Linked DNA regions of Coturnix japonica. The protein of the gene in region 2 purifies or fractionates together with the protein of the main gene of each other region. This does not show direct contact. Links are inferred from orthologs where the notes say so. Each region holds a gene or a part of one and is shown on either strand. Other genes may lie near its edges.

Region 1 (3,807 bases), on a different chromosome or scaffold from region 2:
ATTGCTGCCCCCAGCAGTGCCCAGCTACGTTAGCCCTGCTCTCTACCACCCTGAAGAAGTTGCCAGTAGCAATACCATAAAATCAGCAAATGCCTATGCCAGAGAATAAATTTAAGTCTGTCTAAACATATTTTTGTGTGACTTAATCTATTTTTAATCCCCAGCCTCCCACTATTGCTATGTATTAAACCTCTTTGCTGTCTACAGAATATATTTCATTGACTGGCTGGCATTTAGCATTAACCATTCAGGAAAAACTCAGAGTAAGCAACTGTAGTTTTTTTAGGTCAGTACTTTGGGTGCAAGAGCTGCTGGAATCAGCAAGAGGAGAGCTTGGATCCTCAGAGATCACAGTCCTGAGCACTAGGACTACAGGGTGACCTCTTACTGGTTCTGCATGGCTCATTGCACAGGGGAAACCATACGGCATTACTCACACTGGGCAGTTATCAGCTTAGCAGAGAAGCTGGAAATATTTTGCAAAAGCTTCAAAAAAAAGGTTTCTCCACCCCATACTGGGCTGCCTGCAGGTTCCCTTTCAAAGCCACATCATACAGCAGCATCTGAAAGAGATACCTGATAGAGAACCAGATGTCTTCTGCTGGAAAAAAAATAATAGGATTGTTTTTTTTTAAAGAAAACAACAAACCTAAAAGCTCTGAATTTGTTAATTATGTTGAGCAGGTGCAGGAGGTGATGGGAGGATGCTGCCTTGTTACTTTCTCAGCTGTATGGGAGCTGCAGGACTGCCTCCCAACCCAGTGAGTTTCAAATAAGCCAAGTGCAGGAGAAGTAAAACCATTGCTGAGATGCTCAATATTTGAGTGTAAAACGTTGTCTGAGTAGAGGGAAAATGCACTTTGCTTGAAGATATAAATGCACTCCTGTGCTAGGTGAGCTATTTCAGCCTGGCAGCCTGCAGGTGGGACTGGGAGATGTGGGGAGATGTGAAAGCAAGATATTGCTTATCCATAGCTCAGCAGCGCCTGTTCAGCCTCCCGGCTCCAAGGGAAGGACTCAGGCTGGGCTGTAGAGTAAAAATAGCTCAGCAGGCAGTCGGCAAAGTCGAAGCATCCGTCTCACTGTCGCTGGCTGTGCAAGCTGGCAGAGGATGTGCCTGCCGGTACCACGTCCCCCAAGCACCACCTAGTGGCTGTGCCACCTGAGGCTGCCCGGCACGGGCTGCAGGCAGCAGGGACCTGCATAGGGCACAGCCCTGGGCAGGAGTGGAGGCTGGTCCTCCTGGCTCCTCATGTTTGTGTGCAGCAGGCCCAGAAGTGCCAGGTGAGGGGCTGACTTGTGCCCAGTGCAGCTGCACTGAGCTCCTGGTTGTCTGGGGGGAGCCAACTTCCCAGAGCTTGGTGAAACAGATGAGCTGAGACAGGGCACAGTGAGACAGTGCATCCCTCCCCTTCCCTTAGCCCACCCTGACCTCAGTCCTTGAGCAGAACAATGTGGGTACCAGCCCTAAAAGCCTCCAAAGTATCGAGTGTGTGGCTGTGTTATCATAACCTGCTCATAATCATTTAACTCAGCATTATGGGTTTAGGCTGCACATACTCTGTCTTGTTCCTAAACCAGCTGTGCAGAGATGGGGTTTTACAGGCTGCAGTGTTGTCACTGGAGATGAAAGGTGCTCCTGAAGGTTTTAAAAGCAGTCTGTGAGAAGTGGGCTGTCTCCTGTGGGAATGGGTATCACGTCAGCCTGAGCTCCAGATCTGCAGAGTGACCTGCTGTCATCTGAGTCACTGTAACAGTGCTGCTGTGCTGTGGGATCAGCCTTGTTCCGAGGTGTTTGCACAACAGCCCGTTTCTGATCCCTGCCACATGGTGAGGCGGGTCTGAACAACTTCTGAAGTAGGTTCATATTGCAGAGAGAGGGGAATGTAAAGAGAAAACATTTGCAGTTCTCTGCCATGTTCCGCACCTGATTCATCTGCTGGGACTCGTTCTGTTGCATGCTTTTGCTCTGGGCAGCCCTGCTCTGCTCCTACCAGCTCTGAGCTCACCATGCTGCTCGGAGGGCTGGGCAGCAGCGTGGCCCCCTGGAGGAGCTGCTGGCAGAGGGCACAGCAGGCGCCCACATCTTCGGTGCTTTCAAAGGCTGCCATTGTCCTTGGCTGAGTTCTGAACCCCCAGGTGTGACGTGGGGAGGAAGTCTGTTATTTGCTTTCTCGCACTGTGGTTGGCAGCTGAGACTTTGAAGCTGAATAGCAAGTGATGGATGGGGACATCCGACAGGCAGAGCTGGTGGGAGGCAGTGTTTTCCAGCAGATGCACTTATCTGGCAGGGCAGAGATACCACACGCTGCAAATGATTCTCTGCTCCAAAGGAAGAAAAGAGAGCGGGATTAAAGCACTTGCATGGAATCCTACTTATGTAATTTTTAACAAATAAGAAGCCTGTTTTCCAATGAAGAAACTTCATAAATATTTGAGTTTATGTTGGAGCATAAAATCGTTTGTCAGCATCAAAACTGTGGCTGTCAGCACGGAGGAGTTTTATTCTTCCTGGCACAGCTGTAAGAGCCACTAACAGCAGCGTGTCCGAGGCTGCTGTGGGCCACGAGAGCAAGCAGGCAGTTACAGCCATTTCTTTATCTGCGTGGAGGGTTTGGCTGCAGTGTCAGTGGCTACAGGAAGGTGCCACAGCCTGGGGCAGGGCTCCAAAGAAGGGAACATCTCTCTATGTTGAACATATTCACAACATGGCTGGCCAAAGCCAAGGGTGACCCATCCGTGTGTTGGTAACAGTCGTGCTGTGAGCAGGAAGACCCCACAGACTTCTTCTGCCACCTTGCTGTCATTATAATTGTCCTCTTGTTTCTTGCAGGAAGAAGAAGGCGAGGATGCAGATCTCTCTTCTGGTCCTTCAGTCCTCAGCCACAAGATGCCTTCCGCCCAACCTTTTCATCACTTTGCCCCTCGCTACTCCGAGATGGGCTGTGCTGGGATGCAGATGAGAGATGCACATGAAGAAAACCCAGAAAGCATCCTGGATGAACACGTGCAACGTGTGATGAAAACACCAGGCTGTCAGTCTCCAGGCCCCGGCCGCCATTCGCCCAAGCCACGGTCTCCAGAAAGTGGCCACTTAGGGAAGCTGTCAGGGACACTTGGAACGATTCCTCCAGGGCATGGCAAACACACAACGAAATCAGGAATGAAACTGGATGCAGCTAACTTATACCACCATAAACATGTCTACCACCACATCCATCACCACAGCATGATGAAACCAAAAGAGCAAATTGAGGCCGAGGCCACTCAGAGAGTGCAGAACAGCTTTGCTTGGAATGTAGATTCACATAACTATGCAACAAAGTCAAGAAACTACTCTGAAAACTTGGGCATGGCCCCTGTCCCCATGGACTCTTTAGGCTACAGGTGAGTAGGGCAGCAGGGTGGCTGGGCCATATTTTCTTACAGGACGTGGCTTAAGGGCCTCCCACTGCGCTTCCTTTCAGAAATGAATATGCTTCCTAACAGCACTTAAAATCTCTGTGACCTGGTGATGAAATCCTCTAACCAGGATTTTTACTGGCCTTGGCTATAAAGTAGCACTTCTGCTCCTTAAAGCAGCAGAGGTGCTGGGGCTTCCCTGTGCTTTGGGAGGTGATAAAAGTAGGGCTGTGTCTCGGGATCTGGGTAACAGAAACCAGGTTCTTAAGCTGTTTATGAGAGAACAAAAAGGTTCATCTTTTTGCAAGGCCTGTTTTATTCACCAGAAGGTTTCCTTTCTCTTCCTGGCTAAGCAGTGGATGTTCTGGTGCTGCTGTGGCCTGCTATCCCAAGGGGACATTCTCC
Region 2 (4,525 bases):
GTTACCAAGAGTGTAACATCAAGGCTGCAAGGCACAGTCAGGGGAAATCTCACCTTCCAAGGAGGGCAGCTGGAAGCAGCCCATTGCAGGTACTCACCGCTGCTCTGCTGTCACAGCACAGCCTGACATGGCTCCACGTCCACAGCCAGCTCTGTCCCAATGGTAAGCAACTCTATCTTCCACCACTGGAAACAATTCAACACATTCACTGTTTCTGAACACAATTATTTATTGCGTTATTTCAGGATCCAGGAAAGGCCGGGCCTTGATTACAACAACATGTGCAGGGTTGCTGCGTTGGTTCCCAATCACTTCTCCAAGAAAACATTTGCTCTCCTAACGCAGGATTGACTTTTTGCTCCATACTGGGATTTACAAAGCACCCTGCCAAGCAATGCTCTCTGTGCCAAGTCACAGTTCTGCTCAGCCAGCTTGCAGTGACACGAGGGACAGGCGAGGAGAGCACTGAAAACCAAAGTGTTACTGTAGCTGAAGTGCCATTTACAGAACACACTGCAATAAAGCTTGTTTGGATGGCATCTGCAAGTATGCAAGGCAGAAATTAGACGTACAACACATGGCTAGTGGTGACTGCAGCTATAATTACCTATTTGCAACAGTATGAAAATCAGCTTGTAGATAAGATTAGGAGAAAAACCCCAATTTATCATTAACACTTGCTGAGACTGCAGAGAATGACAGTCCAAAATGTGACTGACAGCTTTTAGAGGCATGGGTTACCTCCAGCTGTTTGAGATGATGGGTTCCTACCTCAGGAGCGGCACCTCTGAGAGCCTTAACCTGGACTGTGATGTTGGTTGGAATACACATGAAGATCAGATCACAGCAGCCTTGGTCATACCTTCATCCTGAGGGCAGAGCAGCCAGTCTTCATGGGAATTAGAGATGTGCATTCAGCTGCCAGCATCCTATGGGGGTCCTCTGAGCCTTTACAGCCCCAAAGTCACAAACCTCTATTTGCTGCTGAACTGATTCACGTTCAGTTCCAAGCTACCTGATGGCATCGCAGTTCATAGTCATCCTCCTGCCCAGGGAAGTGCAGGAGTCACCATCCCTGGAGATGCCCCTGCATTGAGTGGGGCACAGTGGGGGTGGGTTGGATTTGATGATCTCAGTGGTCATTTCCAACCTTAACGATTGCATGATCCCTCACAAACAAGCCCTCACATTGCACGGTTGCATCTGAGACCACCGCCTAAATGAGAGAGGCAGAATTTATGGTGCTAAGCCTAGTTCACAGCCCTTCATCCTCCACCATCCCCATTTCTAGGGCAAGACAAGGAGAACAGCCCATCTCCCTTTAAGTTTTGAGACAAATGAGAATCCACCATAGGATTTACATTGCTTGCTCAGCCCACACGTGCCGGAGATGCCCCCAGCGCACCCACCAGCATCAGCACTGCTTTCACTCTCCCTCACACCAAACATCTGCAGAGCAGTGGTGATGAACACAAGAGCTGTCTGAACAAATCCATCAGCTTTCATTGAGGCTGCACCACAACAACACAGCGCCCGGATTCCTAAGCCAGCTACAGAGTGTGCGTGTGTCCATCACTTAGAGGGGGGAAAAAGGAGAGAGATTTATGAATAGGAGTTTTCAAAAGCCCTATTTTGCAAACCAACACTTCATAGAGATGCTTCCTAAACGTGGTTTTCACAATCCAGAACAACAACAAGTCAACGCAGGAGCGTTCCTACAGCGGCGTGCCAAGGCTAATACATTGCCACAGCAGAAATACATGGCAACAAACAATATCCACATTCCTTGGTGGATGGATGGAGCAGAACAGGGGTAGCTTTGGGTCTTAGGGATAAGGGGAAAGCCAGCATGGCACGTAATAGGGTGATGTGTTTCACCACCCAACCCCACTGTTACACAGGTTCAGGGCTGTATTAGTATTCCACAGACCTGCTCTCTTTTGCTGGCGAGGCATTTAAATACATAACAACAACAACAAAAAATCGACAGATGCGAGTACAAAGCGATTTACTACAAAAGGATTCATCACGTTTTGAAAGTTACTGTCTGGCGAGCTGTCAAACGCCTTTTTATTGGGTTTCCTTTATCGCGACCACAGATAAGGCCGGTACGAAGAGGACAGCCGAGCTCTGGTACTCGGGGCTTTGACAGCTGCCGGTGGGCTGGGAGAGCCCTCAGGAGAAGCAGCACAACCCGACACCAGCAGCCCCAGAAGGGGAGGAGGTTTTCAGGCCTGGTTCCCCTCAGCCCGGAGGACGAGGACAAGCAACGAGCCGAGGGCCGTGTGTGGAGCTGTCAGCGCCGGGCCGCCATGTTAGCGGCCGCCGCTCCCCCCCGGTGCCGGCGGGGCCTATACCGCCCAGCGGGTGCCGCAGTGCGCGGCTCGGGGCAGGGCCGCACCCGGCCGGCAGGGCCCGAACCGAGCTCCATGGAGCTTCCAAACGCAGCCCAGCACCGCGATAAGCGCCTGACCGCCGCCATCCAACCGAGCAGGTGCTCTCCCATCCGGGGCCGAAACCCGGCTGTCAGAGGGAACGGAGAGCGGCGACCCCCCCCCTCATATCCCCCTCCCGGTACCTCCACCGCCCCTCAGCTCACCCGAAATCCTGATCCATAGATTTGAAGAAGAATTTATAGCTGTGCACGGGCCGGTTGCTGAGGACATTTTTAAAATCAGCTAAAGTGACTTTTTCCGGAGGGACGGGCAGTTTCACCAGGTAAGGGGTTTCTTCTTCGTCGATGTGGTAAATGATTTTAGTCTCCGCCATGAGAGAAGGGAGGAGCTGGGGGGGCGAGCAATGCGATGAGGGGACGCGGCCCGGGGCTCCGCTCAGCGCCTCCAGCCCGCGGCCGCCCCACACAGGAAGGCAGCTCGTATCTCCCGGCCTCCGCCGTGCTGCTGGGCCGGGATTCCTCTCCCTGCACTGCTCTCTAGCTGCCCGACCCGGGAACGGCAGCCCTTCTTCACCGCCGCCTCCCGCCCCGAGTACATCCTCCCGCCGCCCCCCGCCGCGCTGGGCAGCGGGGCCGATGCGGCACCCAGCCCCGGGGCCGGTGGGCAGCGGGGGGGCAGCGGGCGAGCCGCCCTCCTCCTCCTCCTCTTCCTCCTCCTTCTCTCCCCTTATCCTCTCCTCCTCCTCCTCCTCCTGCCGCCTCTCGGCCCGTGGACAACCCGGCTCTCGCCCGCCGCCCCCCGCCGGCACGACGGCACTGCAGCGGGGACGGGCTGCGAGCGGAGGGATGCCTCCAAATAGGGGGAAATAAAAGCATACAGTGGGTTCTGTGGACTCCCTGCCCACCATGAGCTCATTTGGCTTCTCCAAAGCTTCTGTAAATGACAAAGCGTGGATATTCGTGGCTCTGATCAACATAAAGACGCATCCCTATTTCCTGTGTCCCCTATTTATGAATCTGAACAATTTGGTGTTAATAAAGACTCATCCCTGTTTCCTGTGCACCTACTTATGAAGTCATTGGAGTTTACATTGAGATAATAGGAAATGAAGGTGGGGCTCTCTGTGACTAATGGGGGATAGGGAAATGAGCTGGAGAGGGAGCAAAACCAGTTAACATAAAGCATTTGTAAAGGAAGCTGTAAGGATAGGCAACGAGGATCATAAAGGAGGGGAGAAGGAAGAAACGGGTTGGAGACACTGTTGACTGTCTATACAAAAAATGCCTTTAGAGATACTGACAACAGTAGGGAGCTCCAGGTAAAGAATGGGAAAGGCTCTCTGGGATGACTACACAACAGCTATGTGCTCTGATACACTGAGGGATGGAGTGTTTTCAATACAAAACCCAGGCAAAGCATAACCATCCATCCAGCCCTTTTGGTCTCTTCAGTTCATACTTAATGACCTCCTGCTCCTGCTCTATTGGCTCCCCTTTTGCTTTTGAAGGCTGAAAATATAATGAGTCGTATAATTGTCAGAATACCACCTTGGAACAGATATGATGAGGCTGAATCTATGACTCACAAAAAAGCTTTCCACGTCCCTATAAAGCACCGAAGAGATAACCCACTTTCATGTCACAGTCAAACCACAAGCTAATCCAATTAAAGAGTGTACATGGGAATGCAGGATGGGCCACCTGAGCAAACCACTGGTCCATCAGGGCTAATATCTCGTTTCTTGCAGAGTTCAGTGCTTAACACTTCAGTGGAAAATAAATATAAGGCATAAAATCTCTTGCTATTAGTGCCGTGCTCTCCGTGACAGAGCAAATAGTCTCACTGACCCCTGCAGGGAGCAGATAGTGTCCTGAGGCATGAAAGCTGCCCACCCTTTGCTTCATTTATACAGCAGTTCACTTCATTACCACGCAGAGAAGAGCCGAGCCTTTTGAAAAGGGCTCCTTTGAATTAGAGCGATGGTGGCTGCTTGTCTCAGTGAATTCCAAAAGCTCATCATGCTTTGGGTGCTTAGCAAATACATATTAGTTTAAAGGGATACAAGGAGAAAAGCTCTGAGCTCTCGTCCCCTTGTAGGGCTGGTGGGCCATGCAAGGAGGCCAGCAGTG

What was found.
Region 1: the proteins of DVL1 (region 2) and AXIN1 purify together in Homo sapiens (affinity purification with western blotting; 3 studies listed by BioGRID). This does not show direct contact. The link is inferred for Coturnix japonica from reciprocal best matches to the Homo sapiens genes DVL1 and AXIN1.

Annotation. Positions count from the first base shown.
Region 1 is NC_029529.1:10,795,991-10,799,797, forward strand, and holds part of AXIN1 (axin-1), read left to right. Parts: intron 1-2,833; coding exon 2,834-3,387; intron 3,388-3,807. UniProt on the Homo sapiens protein: Component of the beta-catenin destruction complex required for regulating CTNNB1 levels through phosphorylation and ubiquitination, and modulating Wnt-signaling.
Region 2 is NC_029536.1:1,916,106-1,920,630, reverse strand, and holds the start of DVL1 (segment polarity protein dishevelled homolog DVL-1), read right to left. Parts: upstream 3,090-4,525; 5' UTR 2,770-3,089; coding exon 2,600-2,769; intron 145-2,599; exon of another isoform or gene 130-144; coding exon of another isoform or gene 98-129; intron 1-97. UniProt on the Homo sapiens protein: Participates in Wnt signaling by binding to the cytoplasmic C-terminus of frizzled family members and transducing the Wnt signal to down-stream effectors. Plays a role both in canonical and non-canonical Wnt signaling.